Linked DNA regions of Schizosaccharomyces pombe. The protein of the gene in region 1 interacts with the protein of each later gene in a pairwise test. Each region holds a gene or a part of one and is shown in the gene's direction. Other genes may lie near its edges. The genes, in order: nup211, isu1, bis1 and cdc23.

Evidence for each region.
Region 2: the proteins of nup211 (region 1) and isu1 interact in a two-hybrid assay, tested with the Schizosaccharomyces pombe proteins (2 studies listed by BioGRID).
Region 3: the proteins of nup211 (region 1) and bis1 interact in a two-hybrid assay, tested with the Schizosaccharomyces pombe proteins (3 studies listed by BioGRID).
Region 4: the proteins of nup211 (region 1) and cdc23 interact in a two-hybrid assay, tested with the Schizosaccharomyces pombe proteins (2 studies listed by BioGRID).

The regions. Positions count from the first base shown.
Region 1 is NC_003421.2:1,563,916-1,574,274, forward strand, and holds nup211 (nucleoporin nup211), read left to right. Parts: upstream 1-1,634; 5' UTR 1,635-1,726; coding exon 1,727-7,240; 3' UTR 7,241-7,335; downstream 7,336-10,359. Other genes in the region: 3-hydroxy-3-methylglutaryl-CoA reductase Hmg1, read left to right, coding at 1-1,232; ent1 (epsin), read right to left, coding at 7,733-9,818, 10,343-10,359. UniProt on the Schizosaccharomyces pombe protein: Functions as a component of the nuclear pore complex (NPC).
Region 2 is NC_003424.3:515,264-521,685, reverse strand, and holds isu1 (Fe-sulfur cluster assembly protein Isu1), read left to right. Parts: upstream 1-2,734; 5' UTR 2,735-3,242; coding exon 3,243-3,821; 3' UTR 3,822-4,270; downstream 4,271-6,422. Other genes in the region: yfh7 (uridine kinase), read right to left, coding at 1-471, 553-753; rna4 (Prp4 family U4/U5/U6 small nuclear ribonucleoprotein complex subunit), read right to left, coding at 4,439-5,790, 5,853-5,889; putative misfolded glycoprotein sensor Yos9, read left to right, coding at 6,078-6,152, 6,204-6,422. UniProt on the Schizosaccharomyces pombe protein: Scaffold protein for the de novo synthesis of iron-sulfur (Fe-S) clusters within mitochondria, which is required for maturation of both mitochondrial and cytoplasmic [2Fe-2S] and [4Fe-4S] proteins.
Region 3 is NC_003421.2:481,976-488,122, forward strand, and holds bis1 (splicing factor Bis1), read left to right. Parts: upstream 1-1,595; 5' UTR 1,596-1,609; coding exon 1,610-2,764; 3' UTR 2,765-2,922; downstream 2,923-6,147. Other genes in the region: rpl1702 (60S ribosomal protein uL22), read right to left, coding at 260-823; calnexin independence factor Cif1, read right to left, coding at 2,990-3,949, 4,002-4,004; wtf antidote-like meiotic drive suppressor Wtf9, read left to right, coding at 5,192-5,330, 5,498-5,743, 5,793-6,071, 6,117-6,147. UniProt on the Schizosaccharomyces pombe protein: Has a role in maintaining cell viability during stationary phase induced by stress response. May be involved in pre-mRNA splicing.
Region 4 is NC_003423.3:4,077,376-4,084,789, forward strand, and holds cdc23 (MCM-associated protein Mcm10), read left to right. Parts: upstream 1-1,681; 5' UTR 1,682-2,063; coding exon 2,064-3,845; 3' UTR 3,846-4,189; downstream 4,190-7,414. Other genes in the region: SPOM_SPBC1347.09 (hexaprenyldihydroxybenzoate methyltransferase), read left to right, coding at 75-929; protein sro1, read left to right, coding at 4,832-5,152; SPOM_SPBC1347.14C (uncharacterized protein), read right to left, coding at 4,904-5,269; centractin family actin-like protein Arp1, read left to right, coding at 6,562-6,578, 6,622-6,652, 6,722-6,786, 6,826-7,414. UniProt on the Schizosaccharomyces pombe protein: Required for DNA synthesis. Required for entry into or completion of S phase. Involved in DNA replication and seems to participate in the activation of the pre-replication complex (pre-RC) and in transcription elongation.

The DNA.
Region 1 (10,359 bases):
TTGTAATTCGCCGAACGGTCGTCTCCCGTTCATCTAGGACGAAGACACTTGAAAGCTCTAATTGCCCCGTCTATCATTACGATTACTCTAGGGTTTTGAATGCATGTTGTGAAAACGTTATAGGTTACATGCCCTTGCCCCTTGGTGTAGCTGGTCCTCTCATTATTGACGGTAAGCCTTTTTATATCCCTATGGCTACTACTGAGGGTGCATTGGTTGCTTCTACTATGCGTGGATGCAAAGCTATTAACGCTGGTGGTGGTGCTGTTACTGTATTGACTCGTGATCAAATGTCCCGTGGACCATGTGTGGCTTTCCCGAATTTGACGCGCGCTGGTCGTGCTAAAATTTGGTTGGATAGCCCTGAAGGCCAAGAGGTTATGAAGAAGGCTTTTAACTCTACTAGCCGTTTTGCTAGACTTCAACATATTAAGACTGCTCTAGCTGGTACTCGTCTTTTCATCCGTTTCTGTACGTCTACCGGTGATGCTATGGGTATGAATATGATTTCCAAAGGTGTTGAGCATGCACTTGTAGTAATGAGCAATGACGCTGGTTTTGATGACATGCAAGTGATCAGTGTATCAGGGAATTATTGTACAGATAAGAAGCCTGCTGCTATTAATTGGATTGATGGTCGTGGTAAAAGTGTTATTGCTGAAGCTATTATTCCTGGTGATGCTGTCAAATCGGTATTGAAAACTACTGTTGAAGATTTGGTTAAATTAAATGTTGACAAAAACCTCATTGGTAGTGCTATGGCTGGCAGCGTTGGAGGATTTAATGCTCATGCTGCTAACATTGTCACGGCAGTATATTTAGCAACTGGTCAAGACCCTGCCCAAAATGTTGAAAGCAGTAATTGTATAACTTTGATGGATAATGTTGATGGTAACCTTCAGCTTAGCGTGTCAATGCCATCCATTGAAGTTGGAACAATTGGTGGTGGAACGGTTTTGGAACCGCAAGGTGCTATGCTTGACTTGCTCGGTGTGCGAGGTGCCCATATGACCTCTCCCGGTGATAATTCTCGTCAACTAGCACGTGTCGTTGCAGCCGCCGTAATGGCTGGTGAACTGTCTTTGTGTTCCGCACTTGCTAGTGGCCATTTAGTTAAATCCCATATCGGACTCAATCGAAGTGCGCTGAATACTCCTGCTATGGACTCTTCTGCCAAGAAACCAGCGACTGATGCTCTAAAATCCGTTAACTCTCGAGTACCGGGACGTTGAGGGAGCAAGCTTGTTTTATAATATTGTCACATACACGATGATGACAAATTTTTTTAATTTTGATCTCCCCTAAAAAGTTACATCTTTGAACTGTTATGCCTCAGGAAAATTAGCTTTAAATTCTTTTCCATTTTTTATATATTCATCTTTTAAAAGAATATGGTATATCCATACAAGTATGTAGTTTACCTAGTGAACGCTGATTTATAGCTTAGGTAAGAAGACGTAAGGCAATGTATATTGCTTATGTCTAGTGACACAAACAAATGGATTATATTATACGGACTTATATTAGTTATCTCAATAAAGAATTTAAATAGATTTTTAATTGTAATGGTTTTATGACTTGAAATTGAATTTATTAGGGTATCAACTACCTCGTCGCTACACACCCATCGACTTACATTGCACCACCATAATAGGTAAGAACGTGTTTCAAACAAAGGTAGCGTCTCTAAACTGAAAAAATAGTTAGAAGCTATTTGTTTGAGGCAATGCACGATTCTTCCTGGACAGAAGCTGATATACTCGGGGTATGCAGTTTTCTAGACATACCAAAGACAAAAATTGATCCTTTACTTCAGGTGGACGCGTTTACATCCATATTAATACCTTTAATTAGTAAAAGCAAAGATTATGAAAGTATAAAAAATGATCGTATAGTTACAGAAGTCAATTACGAGCAACAATTGCGAAATTCGGAGAAGAAACTACTTCAATCAAACGAACGTTACGATTTATTAGAGGATGAGCGCAAGCTTTTAGAGAATGAACTCTCTCAAATCAAAGAATATCTTAGGGAGAAATCCTCTTCATATGACACTGTTTTGCACGATTGCAGTTCTCTCAAAAGTGTAAATGAGGCATTAAAACAAGCTCAGGATCAAAATTTGAAGCAAACTGCTCAACTTCAAAATCTTTTATCAGATAAAGAAAAGGAAGTTGAAAAGAAAATCACTATCATTAAAGATCTAAAGGATGCCCTTGCCAGTTCTACCCATCAAGTTTTGGAGCTTCAACATACACAACAAGAAAAAGCATCTTTGCAGACTAACTATGAGTTTGAGTTGCAAAAATTAACGCAGAAAAATTCGATTTTGGAAAATAATAACACCTGGTTAAGCCGAGAGCTTCAGGGTGTGAACGACAAATTGTTATCTCTTCATCAGGAGGCCTCTTTGGAAAAGTCTCAACTAAGTTCTCAATTATCTGACGCTGTTTTGGAAAAAGATGCGCTACAACGGAAAGTGAGTTCTTTGTCTCAACAGTTTACAGAAAGTAATTTACGATATCAGAATATTGTAGCTGAACTCTCCGAAATGCGAAAGCAATATGAGTTTTCGCAAGTTTCTTTTGAAAAAGAGATTTCTTCACAAAAGCAAATTAGTGAGTTGTGGATGGAGAAATGTGAGGATTGCTCTTTACGGCTCAAAGAGTTGCAGAACTCAAACGGCGAGTTGGAAAAGCTATTGGAAGCTGCACAATCATCTTTTGAAGAACAGCTTGAATCTCATAAGGAAGCAGAAGCTTCCTTGAAATCTCAAATCAATTTTCTAGAGAAAGAGGTATCAAGTTTAGAGTCTCAGCTAAAGTTGGCTAATGAGCGTCTTCGGCATTATGATGAAATAGAAATCTCAGATATGAGTGAATTGAAATACTCAAATTTACTAAATAATAGTATGAAAGGCTTTAAAGGTCAGTCCTCCGTCTCTGACTTGTATTCCGAGCGTTTATACTATAAACAGAAGTATGAGCAAACATGTCAAGAGGTTGAAAGGTTACAACGTAGCTATAACCATGTTATGGAAGAAGCGAATCTTCAGCATCCTTTGGTTAAAGAACAGTTTAAGCGATTTGCTCATATGCAACGGGAAATTGTTGCAATGAGTGAGCAATATCAGAAGTCATTGGAAGACTGTCAGAAAGCCAAGTCCCGTTACGAGCAATTAGAGACACTATTTAAAGATAAATGCACAGAGAATAAGCATTATGAGCAAGAGACCAAAGATTTAGCGCGACAGGTGCAAGTTTTACTTCATGAACTCGATTTGTGTGAGAACGGCATAGTGCTAGGCGTGGATAGTAGAAAGAAGATTAACTCCTATGTTGAAAAATCGCTCACTGAAGATGAAACTGATACGGATCAAATAATTTCAAGCAGGCTAGTTGTATTTCGTAATATTAGAGAATTGCAACAACAAAATCAAAATCTACTGTCTGCAGTTCATGAATTAGCTGATCGTATGGAGAAAGACGAAAAACCTGATCTTGATGGAGCCGAGATTCAAGAAGAAACACTGATAAAAGCTAACGAAACTATTGATCAACTTACTAAAATGTTGGAGGAGGTGAGCGATCAGTTACGCTACTCTTTAAAGGAACGAGACTTTTTTAGATCACTAGTTCAAGAGAATGAAAAACTTTTAGATATGGCGCCTGCAACTCCTAATTCCAAATTGAATACTAATTTAATTGAGCAGACTTCTTACCAGCGTTCGCTTATTCGACTTGAACAGCTAACTAATGAACTGGAGTCCCTTAAGTCAATTTCTCGTAACAAAGAAAAAAAGTTTGAGGAAGCTATCTCATCTCTCCAGCTCGAAAAATCTAATATTCAATTGCAACTTACCTCTTTAACATCTGAACGAAGCTTAGCCCTTGAAAAGCTAAATGATCTGGAAAAATCACTTGTTTTATCTGAAAGAAGTAAAGATGAACTTGATGAAAGCTATAAGTCTTTACAAGAGCAACTTGCTTCTAAGAAAATTGAAGTTCAAAATGTTTCTTCTCAATTATCAATCTGTAATAGCCAGCTTGAACAATCCAATCATATTGTTGATAATTTAAAAAGCGAAAACCTGCTTTTAACTTCCGTCAAGGATAAGTTGAAAGCCGATTTATCTAATTTGGAGTCGAAACTTTCGTCCCTGCAGCAGGATAATTTCCATATGAAAGCTCAAATTGAATCTTCAAATCAAGAGTATACGGCAACAGTGGACTCAATGAATAGTCGAATACTTGAACTTTCTAATGATCTTCGAGTTGCTAATTCAAAGCTATCTGAGTGTTCCGATGATGTTCGTAGACTTACTCTACAAAATTCATTTGATTTGAGGGAGCATCAAACATTGGTGCTTCAACTTCAGTCTAACATCACTGAGTTAAAACAAGACATAACATTGCAACGCACCGTGCGAAATCAGTTAGAAATACAAACCACTGAGTTGAAAGAGCGCTTAAAGTTTATGGAAGAACGGCAGGAGAACTTGCAATCTAAATTAATCGCGGCTAATAAAGACACGACACAAAATCCTGATAATGTTGAAGTCGAGGCTATATCTATTGAACTGGAAAGGACGAAGGAAAAACTTCGCATGGCCGAGCTTGAAAAGAGTAATATTCAACAAAAATACCTCGCTTCAGAAAAAACCTTGGAAATGATGAATGAAACCCATGAGCAGTTTAAGCATCTAGTAGAATCTGAAATTAGCACAAGGGAAGAGAAAATTACGTCCCTTCGCTCTGAGTTGTTGGATCTTAATAAGAGAGTTGAAGTACTAAAAGAAGAGAAAGAGTCTTCGTCCAAGGAACTTGCCAAACAACTTGAGGATGCTGTTCGTGAAAAGGATAGTGCACTTTCTTTCAAAAAAGATTATGAAAAAATTCGTTCAGATGCGGATCGTGTTATTACCTCTTTGAAAGAAGATATTGAAAAAGAAAGATCTCTAATGAAGGAGTGTCATTCTAATTACGAATCAGAGATCGTTAGTCATGGGCGTACCACTCAAAAATTGCGGGATTTACGTACTGAATTTGACGAGGTGAATACGAAATATTTAAAGCTCAAAGCAAATTTTGAACAGCAGCACTCAGGACTTTCAGGTGCTGAAAAGGATTGGAATATTCAGCGGAAAGCCATGGAAGATGAAATTAGCTCCTTGAAAGATTACATTTTGGGACTTGAAAATCAAAATAAACTACTACATTCGCAATTTGATTCTCTTAGTCAACAAATAACTGTTCTTCAACAGAATTCTTCTGAAAATTTAAATATATCTGCCAATTTAGAAGCCGTTCAAGATAACGATTTACGTGAACTTGTTAGCTACTTGAGGCACGAAAAGGAAATAATGGATAATAAATATGAGTTAACAATTCTGGATAATAGAGGTTTGAATCAACAAGTCAAGTCTTTGCAATCCACCGTTGATTCATTGCAACTCGAGCTCAACCGTCTGCAGTCTCTGCCTGTGTCAAATGACCAAACAGATACCCCCATTATCAGCGGAAGTCAAGAAGTTCAGTTACTTTATGAAAGTAATAGTGTCCTTAGAAAGGACAATGATGCTAAACTTGGAAAAATACAAGAGCTGGAGAAAGAGGTTGAAAAACTGAATGCTTCATTGAATCCCTTACAAACTGAAATAAATGAACTTAAGGCAGAAATAGGCGCAAAGACAGCAAGTCTGAACTTAATGAAGGAATACAATTCTCGATGGAAATTAAGATTTCAGTCCGTTTTGAACAAGTATGAGCGTGTTGATCCCACACAGTTAGAGGAGTTAAAGAAAAATTGTGAAGCATTAGAAAAAGAAAAACAAGAGTTGGAAACGAAACTTCAGGAGACAGCAAAAGAAACCGATACATTTAAGCAACAGGTTAATTCTCTAAACGAAGAGGTGGAAAATTTGAAGAAGGAAGTTGAGCAGGCAAACACCAAAAATACTAGATTGGCAGCTGCTTGGAATGAAAAATGTGAAAATTTGAAAAAATCCAGCTTAACAAGATTTGCCCATCTAAAGCAGGAATTGACCAACAAAAACAAGGAGTTAACCTCTAAGAATGCTGAAAATGAAGCAATGCAAAAAGAAATAGAGTCTCTAAAGGATTCCAATCATCAATTACAAGAATCGGCTTCCAGTGATGCTGAACAGATCACGAAGGAACAATTTGAACAACTCAAGTCGGAGAAGGAAAGAACTGAAAAAGAGCTAGCAGATTCTAAGAACGAGCTAGAACACTTGCAATCTGAGGCTGTCGATGCTGACGGTAAAACTGAAATTTCAAATCTTGAAAAAGAAATTCATGAATTACGGTCTGACAAAGAAGGACTTGTGCAACAAGTACAAAACTTGAGTGCGGAATTGGCAGCTTTACGAGAGCATTCACCGACCCAAGGAAGTTTAGAGAATGCTGATGAGATTGCAAGGCTACGTTCACAACTTGAATCTACGAAACAATATTATGAAAAAGAAAAGGAAACCGAAATTTTGGCTGCTCGCTCTGAACTCGTCGCAGAGAAAGAAAAGACAAAGGAAGAGTTAGAAAATCAACTCAACGAAAAGTCACAGAGAATAAAGGAACTTGAGGAACAAGCTCAAAAAAATTCTTCGGAAAATACTCATGACAATATTGATGACATGATTAAGCAGCAGGTTGAAGAAAAGCTTAAAGAAAATTCTGCCAACTTTGATGTTAAGTTGAAGAAGGTGGTAGCTGAGACAGAATTTCGGAGCAAAGCTAAAATATCTGTGTATGAGAAGAAAACTAGGGATCTTCAGAACAAAATTACACAACTTGAAGAAACTATTGAGAATTTGAATAAACAGCTATCCAATCCTGAAAAGACTGATGAATCTACGTCTTCTGTAACAGAAACAAAGCCTGTTACTTCCAAACCAACAGCTAGCAAAGCTGATGTTGGTCAGAATGCTACAGAAGCTTCGTCAGCCAAGAGAGAACCTTCCGGTAAATCTCTGAGTGCAAGACTTCAAGGAACAGGCAAACAAAAAGGTGTTCAACGACCCGCTGTTTCGCGTCCTGTTCCTATGAAACCAGACAGTGGAAAACTCTCAATAACTGGAGCTTCCAAACGAATTGCTACTTCAAAGAATGCTGCCCAAAACGCTAAAGAACTGTCAAGCACTGCTAAATCCGGCTCCCTTAAAAGACAACGTGACGATGCGAACAAAGGAGGATCCAGTTCGAACCAAAAGAAAGCAAAATAGATGTTTTCATATGGTTCATAAATCACTCTTAGGACTATTCATATTTAGTTAACATGATTTATAATAATGACATGAGTAAATTTTGTATTATAAAATTTTTGTCTTATTTGTATTTCTGATTCTTACACAGACTGGTTTTTGCTATTTCTTGATTTTGCAAAGTAAGTACTTTTTCGACTTACTTATTCCATTATTATTAGAGATAAGATAAGAAATGCACGCTAAAAAGTAAATTCACTACTTAAAAATGTTACCACGACTATTTGCAGAAGTACAAATTCAGTCAAAATCTACATATGAGTAAGAGAACAAATGTCAAAACTAGAATAGTTAAATTTAAATGGATTGTTAGTCCATGATAATTACAGAGAATAAAGTGAACTAAAAAACTCGGTCTTAAACAAATTGCGATAACTTTATACAACAAAAAAGAGAAGGACCATCATTAGGACGTTCATTAGGAACAAATAAGGTCGGAAGTGAGTGAATGGATTATAAATCAATTAGAGAGCCAACTTGGGGCTGCATAGATTGCTGTTGCATGCCCTGCATCGGTTGTTGATTTTGGTAATTGTAATTCTGTTGATTATAATAGGGTTGTTGCATGTTTTGTTGTTGCTGCATCGGTTGTTTATAATATCCGGTAGCTTGTTGCGATTGGAAAGGATTATGCGTGTTACCGGTTGCCTGAGCTTGAATAGTCTGACCAGCACTATTTGTAAATTTGGATCCTGTGTGTTGAGTCGGAACTCTGGTAAGACCAATATTACCGAAACTATCAGTTCCCATAGGATTACCAGTGGAGATTGCTTGAGCAATGTTAGAAAATCGATCGTCACCAGTCCGAACGGGTTTCATGGGTTTAGTAGCAGGAGCAGTAGATTGAGATGGCAAGTTTGAAAATTGAGCAAAAGGATTATTTGAGCCAGTCTTCGTAGGCTCCAAACGAGGAGCAGATTGTTGTTGTTGTTGCTGAAGTATTCCAGTCGATTGTGACTGTAAAGGACGACTGTAAGGATTATTGTTTCCTGTATAGCCGGTAGTTTGCCGTTGTAATCCAGTGGGCTGGGGATGAACATAACCAGTGTGGTTGGGAGCCATCATTGGAGCATTAGGGGTTTGACCAAAGCCTGTACGCTGAGGTTGCATGACAGGGAAAGGGTTGTTGGACTCAAATGGCTGAGAAAAGCCTGTACGTTGGGGTTGCATCATACCAGTACGCTGGGGTTGCATATACCCAGTAGGTTGGGGATTGAAGAAACCATTTTGCTGAGGTTGAACAAAACCAGTACGTTGAGGCTGTATAAAACCTGTTGCCTGAGGTTGAACAAATCCTGTACGCTGAGGTTGCATGAAACCTGTTGCTTGAGGCTGAACAAACCCTGTACGCTGAGGTTGCATAAATCCTGTTGCCTGAGGTTGAACAAATCCTGTACGCTGAGGTTGCATAAATCCTGTAGCTTGAGGCTGAACAAATCCCGTCGCTTGAGGTTGGACAAATCCGGTAGCCTGAGGTTGAACAAAACCAGTACGTTGAGGCTGCATAAATCCAGTGGCCTGAGGTTGGACAAACCCGGTATGTTGAGGTTGAACGAACCCAGTGTATTGAGGCTGTACGAACCCGGTATTTTGAGGACGGATGAAACCGGTGGGTTGTTGTTGGAGGAAACCGGTTGGCTGTGGCTGAACAGGATTTCCAAAGAAATCGACAGGTTGATAAGCATTTTGCTGATTGCCCATAAATGCCTGTTCTTGTTGTTCACGTTCACGTTGATGTCTTTGACGGGCTTCGTCTTCTTCTTTGGAAAGTTGGATGGCCTTTTGAAGCTCAGCTTCCGAATCGTTAGCCATGTTACGACGCTTGGCATCTTCTTCGGCCTGACGTTTAGACTCCTCAATAACACGTTGTAATTCTGGATCATTTTCCTCGGCGGAGTTGTGTTCAGCGCTCGGGGAAGGCCTTCTACTTCTTCGTCTTGAGCGTGAGCGACCAGGACGGCGAGAACGACTACGTCTCCTTGAGCGATGGTCACGATCATCGTCATCGTAACGACTGGCCCGACTGGGAGCGCGAGAAAGTCGTGATTCCTCGTAGGGAGCGCGATCATCATCATCATCGTCAAAGCGAGAGGAACGCGTTCTGTCTCTATCTCTGTCTCTCTCTCTACTATCACCTCTTGCCTCCTTCAAAGCGTGCTCGTCCTCCAACAAAGAAGTTATTTCTTTAGCCTTGGTACGAACGTTTTGGCCTTGATCATGACCATTGTCGTCAACGTAGACAAACTCACGCAACGTTGTGATAATATATATATTGTCTTTGGCCCACCGAACAACGTTTTCCGATCCATTGTGGAGACAATACTCGAGCAAGGATAACGATTTGAAAACATGTCGCCAGTTCTTTCCTTTGTCATTCAGACGACGATCTATAATGTCCATAACTTCTAGCATTTCATTTTGGTCATAGGTTAGCTCTGCTATCTCCGCCATGGCAGTGCCACTGGGACCCCATGAATCATTTGTAGTAGCATTTCTAACCTTAATTTGCGTATCTGTGTATCCCTTGGAAAAGTTTTTTCTGCGAATGTTAGTAACAATTCATAGAATATTGAATGGAGTGCATCCAAGTACGTGTATGCTCAGCACCACATGAGAGATGAGGTGTGTCAATCGGGCACGTACGCAGCAGGGAGGCAAATCAAGAAAAACTAGAAATCAATGAAGAAGAAGAAGCAAATTTCAGATGAGATGATGGGGAAGATAGAAAAGAAGGATTGAACGACTTTCCAAGTTATTCCAACTTCTTTTCACTATTCTAATGATATGATAAAAAATACTAGACTAGAAAGTACAAAATTACGCCAACAAATTATAAGCTAACGCTGAAAATGCCATGGCTATGGAAAGAAATGATAGATTGAATAAAATCCAATTCTAAAATCACCCAAAGCATGCATTTCATCAGCTTTTTGGTCAATTGAACAAACTTTACGCTCCTTCATCCCCGCTTGATGGGTTTTCCGCGTAAAAAAATCATCCAAACGCCTCAATTCTGCGACCTCTTTCTCTTCTACCATTCTTGGGAATTCCCTCTTTACTTACACTGATCGTACAGCAGC
Region 2 (6,422 bases), on another chromosome or scaffold:
CTGCTGTAATACAATATCTGGGGTAACCATGTTCTTCTCGACAAAAGTGAGATTAATCATATCATTTCTGTCGGTCCTCTCAATTGCCTCTTCTTCTGTTGCGCATAATCCTGAAACCAAGTGACGATGCGCAACACGAGCACGGGCCACTGAGTGCTCTACAGGGAGGTATGCCTTAATGTCATATAATTTGCATGCGTCTGACCATGGAGGTTTGTTGAGCAAAAGGTAATTACCTTCAAAAATTAAAATTCGATTTTTGGGCTCAACGCAAATATCGTCGACTACAGGGTCACCAATTGCATGATCAAATGAAGGGGCATAGAGCTCTCTGTCAGTGATCTTTTTCATAAGCCGAACTAAGGAGTAGAATAAGTCTGCATCAAACGTCCATTCTGCTCCACGAAGAGCCCGGGCCTTTTCTGGGTTGTCGAATCGATCAAGCTCTTCCAACGAATAATGAAAGCCATCCTTTAAAAAATGTTAGCCAGAATCACAAAAAAATCGTATTATCATTTCATTTCCATTTCGCATAGTAACAGAAAAACTTACCATTGGAATTATTTTTACGATCTCCGATCCAAATCTTTCATTCCATGCCTTTGCGAGAATAGCACATAATGTTGACTTGCCTGAACCAGGACCTCCAGCCAAACCGATTAGAACTCGTTGCTGGTGCTTCAACAATTCAACTGCACGGTTGTAAAGTTCGTCATAAGACGATACATCTGGGGCATCTACTTGTAAAGCCATTTTATCATACAGCAGATGAATGAGTAGCGTAAGGGATGAAATAATCAAACAATAAAGTTAAATATGAGTTTTGCAATAAAAGAGAGGGAATTAAAAGAAAAAAAAAACAATAAATTTCAATTATACAGCTAATCTATGATAACACGATTAGCATCAAATATCTCTCATACCAAACTAGATGTTTATTATAATTGATCTTCTGTTTACCAGTACGTTGTAAAGGTAAACACTCACTTACAAATGATTAATTCCCGATTTGAAGATAAATTCACAATAACTTTTGATGGAGAGAAGACAAGTGTGGGGATCTCATGCTCAAAGCCGAATCCCTTTTAAGTTTCGAAATTCCAAGCATGAGTCCAATTCGCACAATACGCAAAGTTGCGTTTGCTTCGCTTTACAAGCTGGATAGAACGATTTCTAAGCTACTAAATTATAGCGCAGCAAAGGATAAATCCGTAGGAGTCTGTTATTTTTAAAAAATGCAATACAACTTCAGCATCCTCAACATATATTGCAATGTAACGTTAATATGCACAATCAAAAATTTACCAATTTGAATGAATAGCATTGCACTACGTTACATTCAACGTTCTTGAGTTCTGTTGCTATACACTCCAAGACACTTGTGGAGCATGTGAGATATAAAATTAAGAGAAGTCTCAGATACCACTGATTCAATTTCGAAATACCGATATTTACATTAAATAATAAAAACAAAATTTAAAAAATAGTTATAATTTCTCATATTTATCACACTCCTCAATTGCTTGGAGGCCCATTACTTTATTGCAATCTCCAACGGCCTTCCTATCTTAATTAAGGATGACGGGCGCAGTAATGTTATATCGCTAATTTACTGAATGCTGTAAAAAACTAGTCATCCTTTAAAAAAACCGTTAGACCGCTAAACTGTTATTGGTGAAATAGACTGTTTCGAATATTACTTTGTTACACATCAAATGTATAGTGCCTTTTTGCAACCTGTTCCTTTTTTTTTCGCCCAGCTCCGTTATTCCGTGATGCGGAACCCTAGTTCCAGCAACTATGGACTCGCTCTTGCCTATTGGAAAGTATGATCGTAGGTTAGCGGCCTTGGCAATGTTATCGGGATCGATTGTTGCAAAAAAACATACGCAGTGCAAGAGGTGCATTAAAAAAAATAAAAAAAATAAAAACGGCTTAACCATTTCTTATACAAACTTCTCTTTTTGAAAGATTATCCTTACACCTTTTTTATTTACATGTATAATCCAAACCAGCAACTAATTACATATCGAAATAAATGCAAAACAGATAAACAAATGGAAACCAAAAAACCGTTCAAGCATGTATCCCAGCTTCTAGTCGTGCATCCACCAACTTTTCATCATCATTTTTGTTAAACATACAAGCACCCTACCCGTTCTCTGCCGTCTGTCTCATGCCGTCCCTTCCACCTGTACTCCCTAACTGACTACTTTCTTTCTCGCTAACTACTTCTTGCCTGCTATCTGATATTCCTTCCTCAGTTAAAGGGGGACGGCATCTTCTTTCCAATTTCCATATCCCACATCCCACAACCTTGTTTCGAATATACTGTGAACACATATCCTTCACCATCGAACACTGGAATTTCCATATTGTGTATGGAAAACAACTTTATTTGTCTAGCTGTACATCATACTTGCATAAGCTTCAGACTGCTTTGTTGTGGCCTCCCCAAAACTTTTTCTTCGTAAATCTAGTAATACCGGATTACGTTTTAGTCCCTTAATTGGCGTTTACTGCTGAAACCGCATTTCCGATTCGCTTGCCACTATTGCCTTCCCTATTTTATTCGCTACCATCCACCTTAAGCTAGCTTTGTGATTTGTTAGGGAAAAACAGTCACATTTTCGACAAACAGAATTTCTTCTCATATCAGATGAGATAAAGATGGCCGAAAACACTCAAGACTGACTTGCACTATATATAGCAGGCACTGCTCTCAAACACTACTGACTCATACAACTCACCAACATTTAATATTGGACGTTTTGAACATAAATTTAAAGTTGTTTTGAAAAATAATTTCATTGAATAAAGCAATTCGTTTTGTGTGCTATAAGACTACATAACTCTGACACGATTTTTTTCAACCACGTCTTGATTGTTTATTGTCGATACATAGTTGAATCGATTTTTCCTTTCATCGAGTGTACATAGTTATTGTCATCTTATTAACCCGGTTTACAAATTTCCTTGCGTTACCCTTACACACTTTTTAACGTCATTTACGTATAAGGAGATTTAAAGGCAAAGCTGTTATTTTTTTTTATATAGATCAGATAAAATCTGAAACTTTGAAAACTCCCTGCCATCCCCCAAAAACACTGAAAACGTACTCAAGCCTTTTACTTGATACGTTTTGAAAACAAATCTAGTTGGATTTGTGATACAGATATTTTGTTAGATCTTGACGTGATTTGTCATCTGATTTTTTTCTTTTTTCTTTTGTTTTCCCTAAAATGAGTGTCTTCCGTCGCTCCGTTCAATGCGTTGGCGTTTTGCCTTCAATTTTGGCTCAACGCTCTTCTCTTCTTGCCCGTCCAGCGAATTTACAGTTTCTCAAAACGAACTCGTCAAAATTCGTCCCTCAAGTCACCGCAAACGTCTCTCGTCGTATGTACCATAAGAATGTTTTAGACCATTACAACAATCCTCGGAATGTGGGTACTTTGCCCAAAGGTGATCCCGATGTGGGTATCGGCTTGGTAGGTGCTCCCGCCTGTGGCGATGTTATGCGCCTTGCTATTCGTGTCAATAAGGATGGTGTTATTGAGGACGTAAAGTTCAAGACCTTTGGTTGTGGTAGTGCAATTGCCTCGTCATCCTACGTTACCACTATGGTCAAGGGCATGACCCTTGAGGAGGCTTCTAAAATTAAAAACACCCAAATTGCCAAAGAGCTTTGCTTGCCTCCTGTAAAACTTCATTGCTCCATGCTTGCCGAGGATGCCATTAAAAGCGCTGTAAAGCATTATCGCTCTAAACAATTAACGCCTGTTGGTACAACTGCTGGCGCTATTGAGTCTGCTACCGCTTAGAAACTTGATTGTAAAGTCATAGCTTTCATCTGTTTAAAAATCTGCTAATTTCCGCTCCGCTTTTTGACCCCGCCTCCTAATTTTCTACCCGGTCCTTTTAATTCCTAAACTGCGTACATGTAAACAGTGTTTTCCACATAAGATTGCTTGTCGACTTTGGCGTAAACATATGGTCTATGTGTTTGCTTGCATTCTTCCTCCCATTTAGCAATATATATTGATTAATGTTTCTGCACTATATGTATCTGGACTAAATTGATGCAAGTGCTTTCTTTCAAAATGCTGCTGATGCTTATTTGCTTGTTATTGTGGTTATAAAAATCATTACTCTGTACATTTTCCCCTTCCTTTTTTTTTAGTTCCTGCTATAGCATTTTATTCGAATCTTTATACGTCTAATGAAAAATAATTTAGAGTCTTTTATTTCTAAACTATAAGCTGTTTCTGTGTTTGCTTAAACTTTAGTAGTATACATGAATATCATCTTCTAGCTATTAAACCATGTAATATAAATGTTCATATATATTCATTGTTTCGTTGCCCATCACGCAAATAGTCAGAAAGGACTGTCTTGCCTATATTAAACTCATTACCAAAACCGTTTGCCACACCCAAATTTAAGGGTACCATAACTTGATTGTACGATCGTATCCTGATGAGATAAATCTGTCTCCGTAACCGTCAACACTCATAACCTTTTCTTCGTGTCCCACCATACTTTTAATCAATGAGCAGTTCAACGGGTTCCAAAGCTTTACGCAGCCATCATAACCACTCGTAGCGATGAATCTGTTAACACCTGATTCAATATAACGAACGTCTGAAACAAGAGAAGAATGTGCGGGAATAGTATGTGCCAATGACACTTTCCGCAAGTCCCATATTTTCACAGTATCATCGGCTGAAGAAGTTGCAAGTTGGTAGCCGTTTGGACTCCAAGCCATCGCGACAATTTGACGAATATGTTCATCTAATACCATTATTGATTTGCCTGATCGAAGATCCCAAATCCGACCGATAGCATCATTACCACCTGAGCTAACTAACGACCCATCTGGCTGACAGGCGATTGAAAAAATCCCTTCCGAATGACCTTCTTGCATAAGCAACTCAACGCCTGTATGTACATCCCATAACCGCCATGTAGTGTCGAATGAGGCAGAAACTAAGTAATCACCACTTGGATGAAAAGCAACTCGACCAACACGAGCCAAATGTCCTTCCAAACGTAACAGTGGAGTAGATTGACTTGCTTTCCACAAACAAACAGTATTGTCTGCGGCTCCAGTCGCTAAAGTCAGCTGCTCAGAATCTGCATCCCATGCCTGACATAGAGGATACCAATCCAAACCAGAAACTCGGTCGGTATGGCCGCGAAACAATTGAACCTCTGAGAGGTTATCAGAATTCCACACCTTGACCTGGCCACCCCAGCTTCCGCTAGCAAAATGATTTCCATTATTACTGAATCTAACAATGGCTATTGGTCGCTCACCACCTATCTGAGAGCCCATCAATTCAGCCTTTTGTAAATGTTCGATTGAAGACTTTCCGGAAAGTACAATTTCAGGTACTGGAATCTCGGAAATTTCCCGTTCTTTTTTTAATCTGAGCTTTGCCTTTTCCAAGGAGTAAAGAGCTATTTTTTTACGAGCAACTAATAGTTCGTGACTTCCTTGAACATACGTCTCCTTCTCAATATTTTCAGAAGCCCCTTGGTCTACATCTAATGGATTGTCTCCTTCTAGGGACTTTTCGATCATTAATTGCTGAAGCCTTTGGCGTCGGGCTAAGGCATCTTCACCAAAATAAGTTATGGGTTCACCATAACGACGCAGATATTCACGAACTTTGGAATCTTCATAAGGAATTTTAAGAGCCTTAATGCGATCCTTTTCCTTTTGCTCCGCGTAATAAGCTGCTTGTTCTTTTGTAAACCGCGTTATCCCTTCTGAAAACGGTCTTGTTTCTAAAGTTTTTTATTAGTTTAAAATTTAAAAGGAGGAGTTAATGCTTCTAGTAGCAACGTACCTAATTCACCAAGTGAAATGCCCTCGTTTTCATTCATGTTAACAATCTCGTGTAACACTTACCTCTAATGTAAACTACTATTTTTTACGCACTATCGTATTTAGCTTTTTGTAAATTGTTCGAGCTTTGCGCACTTCGGTATACTGTGATATAACGCATATGTTCAGTTCAAGTATGTTTCCACATTTGATTCTACCTGCAATCGGCTCATCTAAAGTTAGGACTATGGTGCTACCATTTGCTTTTGTGGGGTTTTTTATTTTTCCAATATGTTTAGCTTCTTTGTTAGACTGGAATGATGTATGCTCTTGAACCTAATTTCTCTTCAATTCTAACGGACTTCCTTTGTAGGCATATGAATATCCTAAATATTCGTTTGAATGGAGTAATGTGTCAATATTAGAGGGCGACATTGACTCAATTAAAGAAAAAACTGAAAAAACTAAATTATCGTCATTATTCTATGCTGGAAAGCATGAATATTTTTGTGTATATCCCAATGCGTCTCTTATAAAACAAAATAGCACAACCGAACCAAGCTATGATTTACAAGAATTGCGGATACAAGGG
Region 3 (6,147 bases), 1.1 Mb from region 1:
CCATGGAACTCATTTGTTTTGTTTTGTTATTTTTTTTTTAATTTTAATCTAATTAATTTATTCTTTTGGTAACATTCCAGCTACTTGTTTGCTTTCGTATAGATTTTTTTTTCTGTTATTATTGAGAAGACACTTTTATAAAATTACAGTCAATTTCTAAGGACTACCCACAACATAAATAGGAAATGAAAAAGAAACTCATATTACAACCGAATCCATTCGTAAAATCAAATAGGGACGACCTTTTTCAAAATCTATTTTAAGCAGAAGTAATGGCCTTACGAGCAGCCAAATTTCTAGCCTTGGCACCTTGTTTCAAAGAAACACGGGAAACGGTGTCATTAGCCTTGGGAACTGCTTCCTCCTCTTCGGCAACAATGATTTCAATGTGGGAAGGGCTGGAAAGGTAAGCAGTGACACGACCGTGTGCACGATAAGTACGTCTGCGTTGCTTGGGAGCAGCATTGACTTGAACATGCTTGATGATGAGTTTATCCATGTCCAAACCCTTAGCTTCAGCATTAGCCTCGGCATTCTTCAAAAGGTCGTAGAAGAAGTTGACGGATTTAACGGGCCAGCGAGCCTGGGTAACGCCAAATTCCTTGCCTTGGGCAGTACGACCAACACCACCATTGAAACGACGGAAAGGAACGGCTTGCTTGTGCTCCTTGACGTTGTCAAGAAAGATGAAGGCCTTCTTCAAGTTCATACCATTAATGGTAAAGGCAACTTCACGAGAGTTCTTGAAATGAGTTCTCAAATAGGCACCACGAGCCTTGGCGCATTTGGTCTCAAGAGCAGGAGCTGCAGAATAACGGACCATCTTTAATTTACAATTTGTCAAGGCGTTTGCGCAGTACAAAATTTGTATGGCAGCGTTTGTCTAGGATTCTCTGTGACTGTTTTTTAGGGTAGTACTGTTTGGTGGTGCATTGGTAAAACTAGTGCTGCAACGTATTCTGCTATTTGTATACTGCGAGCTAGACCGTGCACCTTAGTATAGCACTATTTTCTGAGTAAATAAATATTGTACATGAATTAGGTCTATGAATACTCAAATTGTGTCTATCAAACTACGATCTCAATGAAAAATAGCAGAGTTTTATTTTCCTTGGAAGTCTACTTTATGATATACAAGGAAAAATAGATACCATGTTTAAAATGTTGATGCAAGTACATTTGGTAGGTGAAATAGATAATCAACAAAAACAGTTTCTTAGGCCGCTAGTTGTGATTGTGATGAAAGAAATGTATGTTTTCAATGACAGAGTATTTTTTTTTAAATCAATAAAATAATTTTATCTGATGTTCTACTAAAACAGAGTAATTAAAATAATCAATTTGAAAGTTAGTGGGTCGACGCTGTTTAATCCCCATAACTTACTTGTAATTGTAAGTACGCCTTAACTGTAGAACAGTAAATAGGTAAATAGCCAAATTTGAGCAATTGAGCAATCGTTATCTTCTTAATGAGAAAGAAAAATAATTCAATAATTTGTTTTGCTAACCATCTAAAACCTCACAACCTTGTTTAGTTGCTTTTCATGTCGGTGTCCTAGGCATCCCTACCACACTTCTGGAAATTACCAATTGCCAACATCTTGCATACATGTCCTTGGCAAAAAAGATCGATGATGATGAAAAACAGTTAGTAAAACCTGTGAATAAAGAACAAACGTACAAGAAACCAATTCCACTTGAAGAAGATGACTACATCGAGGGTTTAAGCTACATAATTCAACAACAATATTTTCCTGACCTTCCTAAGCTGAAGGCTGAAGTCGTGCTCGAAAGTGAAGAAGTAGGAAGTTTTGATGCACAAAATGAGTCAAGGGATGAAAAATTGAAATACCTCATTGCTAAAAACTCAGAAGATCCATTGAGAAAGAGGCTTCCATCGTTAGCTATTCATGAGATTACCAAAGCACAGCTGGATGGAGAAAATAAACCGATTAGCGTTGCTTCCTATCAAAATAAGTTCACATCAGAAGACAATGCCTCTTTTGGAGAGCTAATGGAAGATGAGAGTCGATTGAGAGCTGAACAGCATAAACGACGATTTGGGGTCCATTCACAACAGCCATCTAACTCCATTCAAACTATTGGTTACTCAAATTCTGATGCAATCAAGTCAATTGCATGGAAAGAGAAAGACAAGAGTATTAAAACTTGGAACTACCAGCCAAAGAATGCCTTAATGTATACTCCAGAAACTAACCATTCTTCATCCCTGTCTCAGATAAAAAAGCAAAGCACTGAAATTCAAGCGGATGCAACTGGCTTATCGCAGTCTTTTTTAGAAGCAGCCAATCAACCTAGTACGGACCCAATAGTCCCCCCGTCTGTCAATGAGACTGATGCTTCTGTCAATGGATATCCTTTAGTTGATGTTAATTTTGGACAAGCAGTGGGATCCTCTTCGAAATCATACTTCAACATCCCAGAACGGCCTCGACGAGAGAGACTACATGCTATGAGAGTGCGCGATATTCGTTCCCACTCCACGAATACCACCATTACATCAGTGGATTCTGCATCAACTGCTTTAAATTCTTATTCTACTCCTAACTCTGTATCCAGAAAACTGACCAATTTAACTCCTGCCGCCCGACGTCTTGTCGCACGTTCGTATCTCAGATCACCTTTACATGGTTCTTCTCCGTCTGCTTCTCGTCACACCGCCCTAAGGACTTCCATTCCCAAATTCTCATGGACTCCTACCCCGCGGGTAAAATCGACTGCCCCTACACCTAAAAGGGTTTAATGAAGGACTTGTCTAGTTTATGTAGTAATTAACTAGAGCAAGCATAATGATAAGTGCATTGTACATTCTTTAATTTATTGATGATTTCTAGAAATTATAGTAGCTTTTAAATGGTATGAAATATATGAATTTATTAATTAACCGACCGTGTTACCAACCTTGCTCGTAATGTCAACATTCGACACTTTAGTGAAAAATAAAACTTCATTTCGACTGATGAATAGTTCAAATATCATCTTTTTTGGCAATTTTTATGGATTTATTTTTCTCGTAATGCCAAAGGGAAGACATTGCGAATAGACGAATTTCATATAAAATGCTTTGCTTTGGTAATGAATACCACTGGTGTAAAAGAGAGGAGCGGAGAACAAGAATGCTACCATCCTTTAATTTTAAAGAATGAGAAATTGCAGGGATTTTTAACTCAACATCATTTAGTTCCCCTACGATGATAATCACAACAAAACCATATTTAATAGAGGAGAAATTAGATTCCATAGACATGTAGCCGTTAGAAACGCTTTGAAGAGAGAAGTTAGGAAAGACGCCAAATCTTAAAGCTGAAGGAGCCAATTCAAGTTTTAATAAAGCCTGGTGGAAATGTGGTGCATGCGCTTTGATTATTCCACTTGCGAAGCGAAACAGAGGTGCGCATGCTTTTACAAAGCTTCCATATTTTAGGGACCTCACACTATCAGAGGTTTTCACTAATGCATGTGACTTTTTGTCAAACGTAGAGCCAAAAACATAGGTATTTTTAGAGTCTGCAATATCAACCTTTTGAGCAGATAAAAACTCTTGAATAGTTGAGTATAGGTTCTCCGTAAAAACAGATCCTGAAGAGGAAGAAAGCTTATATAAAAGCAAATTTTTATGCTTATCACCAATTTGATAACCAGAAGCATCCTCTTCCGACATAGCATGATTAAAAGAAATCTGATCTATTGTATTTTCTGATGGAAGACTTCGATCGAGAGATTTTGACAAACGTTTCAAAGAAACGTCTTTTAAAATTTTTCTATTCTCTTTTTGTTTTTGAACAATCTCTGCTGCCTTTTGGAGCTTTCGTGCTTTTAACTTTTCAGCTCGCACCTCTGAACGTTTTCGTTTCGGCTGCTTTTCTCCCACTGATGTTTCAGCAGAACCAAAATTCTTTACAATGCTTTCTGTTATAATTTCTTCACTCTATTAAAGTATAAGCCTTCTATAAGTTATAACAATAATAATATTTTCTTACCATTTTCACTTATTCTTCTCCACAGAAGCACGTTTTAGAAGGGTTCACGAATTCCTCCTAGTAGTTAATATGTACTTAACAGCAATAATGGAACTAATAAAGGAAGGAGTGTTTTACGCCTGCTTTTACAGATGATTGTAAAAATGGAATTTGAAAATACTAAAATAATCAAATCTCGAAATTCACGAACTTGGAAATGCAATAACAATTTCTTTCTGCCAAACTTATAGCTACTTAGGATACTCAGGCAGAAGCAGTAATTGAGCTTACTAGTGCACAATTCAGTAAAATTTTATGCTTTGTACCAATAAATGAATGCTTAATTAAATGTAAATTTAAGAGAATCTCTCGTTACTACATCAAGCTATGACTGCCGCCAACTTTAACATCGTAGATGATACCAAACCACTTAGGTTCCTAAGGAAAATTAAATATAAAAAAAAAATAATAATAATAATAATAATCTATACTACTTGAAATGTTATTGAAGGCTTGGAAATTTACATATTTAAGTAAAGCCTCATATACAAAAGCCACTTTATTATGATCGATACTGAACTACTCAATTCTCCATTTAAGGGCGGCATTTTAATGAAATTGTCAGCTACGCAGTTTGATATCTGTTTAACGATACATTGAACTGCAATGACTCTCTTGTGAAACTACAGCATAGCGGTATGCATTTTGTTAACTAAGAATATTATATTTATTGTTATAGGGATGTCTAATAGTATCAGTTACCGATTTAGCTAATAACTGAACTGAGGAATGAGACGCAGCTGTAATTCCATTTATAATCTTCCCAATCTTTGTTCTTAACTGATGTCTATATTAAAAAAGATGATCTTACAAATACGAAACTAGTGACCCGCAACGTACTGTAACAATTATTACAGTATGAAACATAAGGAAAGCTAAGTTGGGGTGAATAAAAAGGCAGTGACAGAATAAATGTGTCAGAAGCAATCCACTGCCTCGTTCAGTTTTTTCGTTCTTCTTTTTTTATGCCATTGTTTGAAGGAATTAGTTGGAAATTTGTTTGAACGATTTTATTATTTTGTTAAAAAGTCTTTGAAGTGGTTGGAATTGGACTACAGAGCGAATATTCTTGATTTTGCTGTTTCGTTTGTCGCAATCATAGCAATTAATTCGCGCATGTGTTTTATTAAATAAAGAATGATCTTGATGAAATGAAGAATAATTACACTTCTTTGAAAAGTCCTCTAGATGAAGAAGATGAATTGAAGACAGATCATGAAATCGATTTGGAAAAAGGACCACTCCCAGAATATGATTCGGAGGAAGAGGGCGCATTACCTCCATATTCAGGTAAGAATTGTAAATAATAAGAAAGGAATTACTCAATGGAAAGTTGAAACTTGCCATCTTGTCAAATTGCATGCTTTGGTCATTGTTTACAGTCGGCCATGCAATGCACACAATTTGATACATGCTCTTTCTTTACTAAAGTATTTCAATCATATTAATTTAAACAGATCACGCACTTGTAAATAATCCTCCTAACACACATAGAGAAAACCATTCTTCTGGGACGACAGATAATTCTTCCCCTTTGTTGATAAAACTGCTAATATCATTCACTTCAATCATTCTATTCAATGCTCCAGCAGTTTGTTATCTAAAGTATAAGGACGCTTTTTTTAAAAATTATGGTGCAGTGGAATGGACATTATTTGGATTTTGGTGTTTTGTTTGCACTTTGGCTTTAATATTCTTGACTTGTAAGTGAGACAATGGGGTTATTCTTACCTTCAGTCACTAACTCATCAGACTTCTATGAAACTTGGACCAAGGCAGTTAAAGTAACTGTAATTTCCTTGGCACAATGTGTAAAAGTGACTGCAGTTTTCTTGGCAAAATGTGTAAAGGTAACTGCGGTCGGCTTGTACAACTCAAGGGAAAAATGGGTAGTAATAATTTGGCTATTATGGGTAGTCATTTGCTATACACTTTTTCTTCGCGCCAAATTCGGTAATTTGAACTTAGACAAGGCTCTCATCTGTTCTACATGCAGTATTTCAGCTGCTTTACTTTTATTTTTACTATATGGTATGTGAAGTTATGGAGTTACCATTACTGACCGCTAACACGCAGTTCGTCTTCCATTTTGGACACTCAAGCATAT
Region 4 (7,414 bases), on another chromosome or scaffold:
ATTATCTTTTTTTTTAATATTCCTATTAGCAAGACTTCACCGTTCATTAACAATATAAAAGGAACTAAAATATCATGTCGGATATAGTTTATGCCAACGTGTCTCATTACAACAAAATAGAAGCATCGAAATATGACAATCCAAGTACCTTGGCGATTTCCAAAGTGATTTCTTCAAAAATTTTACAGTTTGAAGACAATTCCGAAACCAGCCTAAGACATGATCTCCCAAAATATGATCAAGATAGGCTGCTTTTAACTTCGGATGATGATTTGACAAATGTAAATAATTTTTGGAAGAAAAGTGGTATGAGTATATTGGATTTTGCTTGTGGAACTGGTTTAATTAGCCAACACCTGTTCCCTTACTGTAAACAAATTGTTGGCATAGACGTTTCCCAAGACATGGTGGACGTTTATAATGAAAAATTTAGAAAGATGAACATTCCCAAAGAAAGAGCCTGTGCATATGTTTTAAGTTTGGATGATTTGGATGGCAACGGCGATGAACCATTTTCTACTGAATTTGATGCTGTTGTATGCTCCATGGCATATCATCATATCAAGGACCTACAGGAAGTGACTAATAAGCTTTCTAAACTTTTAAAACCTAATGGTCGATTATTTGTCGCAGATTTAATAAAGGGGGGTGATACTTTTCATGGTAATTTGCATCCTGATGAAATAGCTAAGCTTGGCGTAGCTCATCATGGTGGATTTACTCCGCAATCAATTTTGAATTTATTCAAAAATGCATCTTTGTCAAACGCTGAAGTCATTGGTAAAGCTCAGGCAAATGTGTGGGTCGATGAAGCTAAGTATCAACGGTCAACCCAGTCAAAAGACGCTAAAACCTTAGATTTAGCTAACGGAGAGAAGCTGTATGAGGTAAAATTACAGCTGATGGTTATTAGTGGTATCAAAACATGATCCCCTTAATTTTTAATTAGGGATAAACAAATGAATGGTCTGGGTACCCGATTTTAGAAGGTGAAGCAATCAGACCAGGAATTGCTTCATTTAAACAAGTATTGATGTCCATTAAATTGATAGCTTATGATAACTTATAACACTGTGAGTCCCGGTGATTCATTTAAACGAAACTACATACTGAGCATTCAGAAAGGACTAAACTTCATTGAAACGACAATTTCGAATATGATCAACCAAATATTATGTGGGATTACAGGCTTTTTTTATACAATACTGGAAATTTCGTTATATGATTTTTCTTCATAAGTTGGTTTCAAAAGAACTGGCCAACTGTTGTCACAAAGATTTTAATATTAAGCGCAAATTTGAATAGACAACGGAAACTAGGCAATCTCTTCCACCAAATGTAAAAAAAAGTTCGACGTTTAAAATTTAACTGTTCAAAATACCCCTTTTAAATAAGTTACTATATGCATTTGAATACTGTAGACACATCTTTTATGATTCTATATAGACAAATATCGTAAGTTTATATTATGTAAATGAATTCGTGATATCGAACGTGTATACTCATTAAATTAGCGCATCTATTTTAACCTTTTATTATTCAAACTGCAGTTATGTTGTTTACCTATAGCATGTGTAGTATAGAGAGGATTTAATTTTGCACATTATGCTTGTTTATGCACTACATTTTGCATCCTTAAACACATGTCCTTTAGATGTCCGCTAACTGTTTACATTCCTATATGTTTAACCGCGATTTTTAAGTATTGGAAAATAAGAATATCTTGTTAAAAAGATTTATAATTATTACTTGCTTCCTTTTCCAGGACTAAAGAATTTCCTGTTTTTGGCACTAAACTTTTCAACAATATCTTCGCATTTCAAAATACAAATGTGGCAGTATTAAATTTATCCTGTTATTTGTTTTGGCTACTCATACAATAGAGAAGAAAATTTTATTGATCAGAGTTTTTTTAATTTCCTGAAAAGCTAGTTTTCTAGGGTTGGGTTGAAAAGTTTCAGTATTCGTGAGAAATTGACTATATCTAACAGGCGGGGGGTTTTTTTTATCATTGACTTTGGAGGTTTAAGATTAAGAGGAAACCAAGTTTAATTAATGCAAGTATGCATGATCCCTTCATTGCAGAAGAAAATGACTTGGACCTGGAAGAAAAGAGGTTACAGAGGCAGCTAAATGAAATTCAAGAAAAGAAGCGTCTACGAAGTGCTCAAAAGGAGGCTTCTTCGGAGAACGCTGAAGTTATTCAGGTTCCAAGATCTCCTCCTCAGCAAGTTCGTGTCCTTACAGTCAGCTCGCCTAGTAAACTAAAAAGTCCCAAGCGATTGATATTAGGAATCGATAAAGGAAAGACGGGGAAAGATGTTTCATTAGGAAAAGGGCCTCGAGGGCCTCTACCAAAACCATTTCACGAACGACTTGCAGAGGCAAGGAACCAAGAAAGGAAGAGGAGCGATAAATTGAAAACGATGAAAAAAAATAGAAAGCAATCGTTCCAGAGGAAGCGAAACATACTTGAAGATGGAAAAAGTGAAGAGGAGAAATTTCCTATGAAATGTGATGAAATCGATCCTTATTCAAGACAAGCCATTGTTATTCGATACATAAGTGATGAGGTTGCTAAGGAAAATATAGGGGGAAATCAAGTTTATCTCATTCACCAACTACTCAAACTAGTAAGAGCTCCTAAATTTGAAGCGCCAGAAGTTGACAACTATGTAGTTATGGGCATTGTTGCCAGTAATAGTGGAACCAGAGAAACTGTGAATGGGAATAAATATTGTATGCTAACACTGACTGACTTGAAATGGCAACTGGAGTGCTTCCTGTTTGGAAAGGCGTTTGAACGATACTGGAAGATCCAGAGTGGTACTGTCATTGCGCTTCTCAATCCTGAAGTACTAAAGCCAAAGAACCCAGACATTGGACGCTTTTCTCTGAAGCTGGATTCTGAGTACGATGTACTTTTAGAGATTGGTCGCTCCAAACACCTTGGCTATTGTTCCAGCCGAAGAAAAAGCGGTGAACTATGTAAACATTGGCTCGACAAGCGTGCCGGAGATGTATGTGAATATCACGTTGACCTCGCTGTCCAGCGGTCCATGTCTACGCGAACGGAGTTTGCTTCAAGTATGGCGACTATGCACGAGCCTCGCGCACGACGTGAAAAGCGATTTCGTGGACAAGGGTTCCAAGGATACTTTGCTGGGGAAAAGTATTCCGCAATTCCTAACGCAGTAGCTGGTTTGTATGATGCAGAAGACGCCGTTCAGACCGAGAGGGAGCGCAAGGAACGATACAAAAAACAACGAGCGCAGGCTGAACGCGAGCGTGAAATTTTGGTGCGATTATCGAAGCGATGTTGCGCTTCCTCTTCGTCTAGCTCTAACTCGAATAACCTCTCTACGGGAATGTCGATGCGAACACTCGGCCATCAGTATCTAAATTTACAAGGTTCCGGCGTTAAAAATTTACATGACAAGGGTAATCCCACTGCTCTTTCTAAAGATAGCGAAATTGATTCATCGACGAAAAAACCATCCGTTCTGGCCTCTTTTAATGCATCTATAATGAACCCTAAATCCTCTCTACCATCTTTTTCTAACTCTGCTATTCTCGGCACTAACGATGCGGCATCAGGGACACCCGTTCCACAAGATACTACATCCACCAAAGTTTCCCCAGCGGTAGTGTTTACCTCTTCGCCGAGGATTTTTTCCCCCCAAAGTCTACGAAAAATAGGTTTCGATCCAACGCATTCCGCAGATGCATCTACAACGCACTCCACAGCGACTGGACTTTCACGATCCGGCTCCCTAAAAAATATCAAATTCCGATATGAATTTACTGAGAGTGATGATGAGGATGACTTAGAAATAGTTCCCTGAATTTTACGTTGTTTTTCTATACATTATGATGAAAATTAATTATTTAAATTACTAACCAACTTACTAATTAATTAGCTAGCTAATGGATATAGCTATGATTTCAAATGAATGTTCTTTTGTTTACATGCGACACACTTTGCTATCATGAAACTTTCAACCCTTTGTTAAACCTTTCTTCTAAATCCTAATCCTTAGTAAATCCCAATGGAATATTTGAAACGCTTATTAAACACAGTCGCTCTTTTCATTTGTGATGTCAACTGTTTGAATTCAATGTGCGAAGTCTCCCTTTTTTGTTCTGCTAGCTTCTCTCTCATACAAGAACGGCCGTTACAGCTTTTGACATCACATTGTTTATTAATCAAACGAACGTAAGCTTACTTTCATATGGTATGATGGGCTTGTAAGCAATACTAAGATAGCCAGCCAAACTGAGGTACTGTCGACACCTTTAGCTTACGATTGCTTTCGTCTAGGTATCGGACTTTACACTGCTAGTCGCCTATTTTAACGTTGCGCCGTATGGAACGGGTATCGCATTCTTATCAGTAAGGAAAGCTATCTGAATTCGTCACAAAGGAAAAGGCAAATAAATAGTCTAAAACTATATAAATGCGGGCTTCCATCTAAGAGACCTCGCCATCCAACAATTGTTGCGTCCCACCTAAACAGTGTCTAATCAAAGTCAATTGCGAGACATTCTAAAGTAAAAAGTTAATACATTTTAGCTACTACTAAATACTTCTTTTGATATTCTTTTTAGTGAACAATAAAGAATATTGGTTTGATCAACACGGTCATCTTCAGAAAAAAAATTTTTTATTCGTTGGTTTAATTAGTTAAGAAAATTTTTTTTTTCTTTCTTCGCTGACGTCTCGATAATTAAATCTGCGAACGGTGATACTTCTATTCTACACATTTCTATTTAATCACTGTTATTTTCTTTTCTTTTTAATTTCATCAATAAACATTTTTGATTCATCGCTATGTTTTCTATTCTTAAACAAGGTGTCATCTCCAAGTCTCTTTTAGCCGCTACCTCTTTAAAGGCAACGGCTTCAAGATTTTCCTTCTCTACTAGTGTTGCTTCCCGTGTTGACGGTACTAAGAATGGTTGGTCTTTTACCGCATCCAATGTTGCTGATCAAACCACCGATATCGGCATTAACTCTGAGTCGGCTATGAGCTGTAACGACCAAGAGCAACCTCTTTCCTTTTACGTTCAAACTGTCAGAGATGACTTGAACTCTCCTAATTGGGGAGCTGAGCAAAGAAAGGGTGCATTTGATTGGGAAGTAAGCGCTTAAACCCGAATATTGTATACAAGAAGAAAACCCGATTTCCGTTATGATCAGAAGAAAATAATAAAAAGGGAAAACAAAAAATTGGAAAATTGAATGTTTTATCTTATTCGATAAAAGCATTAAACAATCTAACAATGCAATCTTTTTTAATTCGTTATTTTCGCTTTTCTTTTTTTTTTACTCTTCTTGATGTAATTGTTAAGACATGGATTTTATTTTTATTTTTCTAAGGAATTTCGATTATTGGAATTCTTTTACCACCCCCATCCCTCTTTTTATTACCAGTTTCAACACATTGGTTCCCCTGCTTTAGAATGTTTATCGATATAAGCCGTGAACGGTTCCTTGCTTTTACCATTTTTAAATGAGGCAAGACATATGTATTATTAGTTTATACCCCCAAGACTTGTTAGTCTTTATATTATTAGTTTGTCTACTTGTTGACTATAATGATAGTCGCTGATAAAGTTGAAGTTTCCACCTTAATCTTTGTTATTTTATATCCAATTCGCCATGGTCACATTGATTTGATTGAATTTTCGGTTGCTGGATTACAAAAAAGAAATGCCAAATGCGATACAACTGTTACATTTAGATTCAGAATAGGAAATTGTTTGTATAATTAAAAAATAGAAATTGTTTATTTTAATACATTACTACTGATTAATGAGTAGATGAATGGTGGAAGATTGTAAACAATTATGAAGACAAGGTCAGCATTGTCTTTCCGTCTAGCTAAGAAGCAACCCGATGTGCAATTTATAAAGTAGTGCGGTTTAGTGTTGATACGTTATCTTTTTGATAGTTTGATTAGTTATTTCGAAAACACGTTAAAAATGCAGTGAATTTTGTACAGTCTTCTTTACAATCCATTCAACAACAATTACGAGTACGAGCGGCTTTATGATGGGTCTAACCAAGATGTAAACATAACCATTATTAAGCATATACTACAATTCAACTGAAGAAACAAATTCAATCGAAAGGGTTGTCGTAATTTCTTTATATGGTTTTCATTCAAAAAGCCTATTGAATGAAACAACTTATGTATGATAATTGCAGGGTATAGTGATACATAACGAAGCTTAATACTGCTAAGTTTCTTGTCAAGCATGCTACTTTCTTTAGACAATTCCCAATTGCTTTAACTAATAGCTGTTAGTGACCAATTTCCATTGGTTTAAGGTATTTTTTTAAAAAATTGGTACGATTGTTGTTCCTCCTGTTAGTATAAAATTTCTTGGCAAAGCCCAAAACCTTCAAAGTTGCGTCTTCTATTACTGTTTACCCGCCATTTCCTTCATTATTGCTAGTGCTCTCAAATTTCAAGCCGCTTAAAGAATAATTTAAACCCTTAATAAAACTTTCTTTTAAAACCTCCGAGTCTCAACTTTGATATTTCAGCTTTTTGGATGACTGTTACTGAAATGTGCGTGTCTTTTGAAAGAATTCTATTTATTGACGCGTTTTAGCTTTGATAATCAGCCGATATGTATCGACAATGTATGCCAGACTCTTTTTAGCCGGCTATTTCCTGTTAAACTGTCTAGTTATATTGACAAAACTATCTAGGGCTCTGGATTTATTAAAGCTGGATTCGCTGGCGATGATATTCCCAAATGCCTTTTTCCGACTTGGTATGAAGTTTATTTCTCATACTAGATACTAATATACAGTGTTGGAAGAATTAAGCATGAGCGTGTCATGCCAAGTAGTATCCAAAAAGATATGTTTGTTGGTTCTGAGGCTCAAAATCTTCGCGGGTTGCTTAAAATTCAACGTCCAATTGAACGGGGAATCATCCAAAATTGGTCCGATATGGAAGAGATTTGGAGCTATATTTATTCAGATCAACAGCTCAATACTTTACCGGAAGAACATCCCTTGCTTTTAACCGAACCTCCTTTGGCTAACATCCGAAACAAAGAAAAAATTGCAGAGTATTTTTATGAAACGTTAAACGTTCCAGCATTGAGCTTTTCCTTGCAGCCTGTATTGGCACTGTATGCCTCCGCACGTACAACTGGCATTGTTCTTGAATGTGGAGATGGCTTGACTCATAGTGTTCCTATTTATGATGGGTTTTCCATTCCATCAGCTATACAACAAGAGGAAATTGGAGGTCGTGACGTTACAGATTATTTGCAATTGCAACTTCGAAAATCTGGCCACGAACTCGTCAGCTCGGCGGAGAAAGAAATTGTCCGGGAAATTAAAGAAAAATGTTGCTACGTAGCATCTGACTTTAGATCAGAAATAGAATCA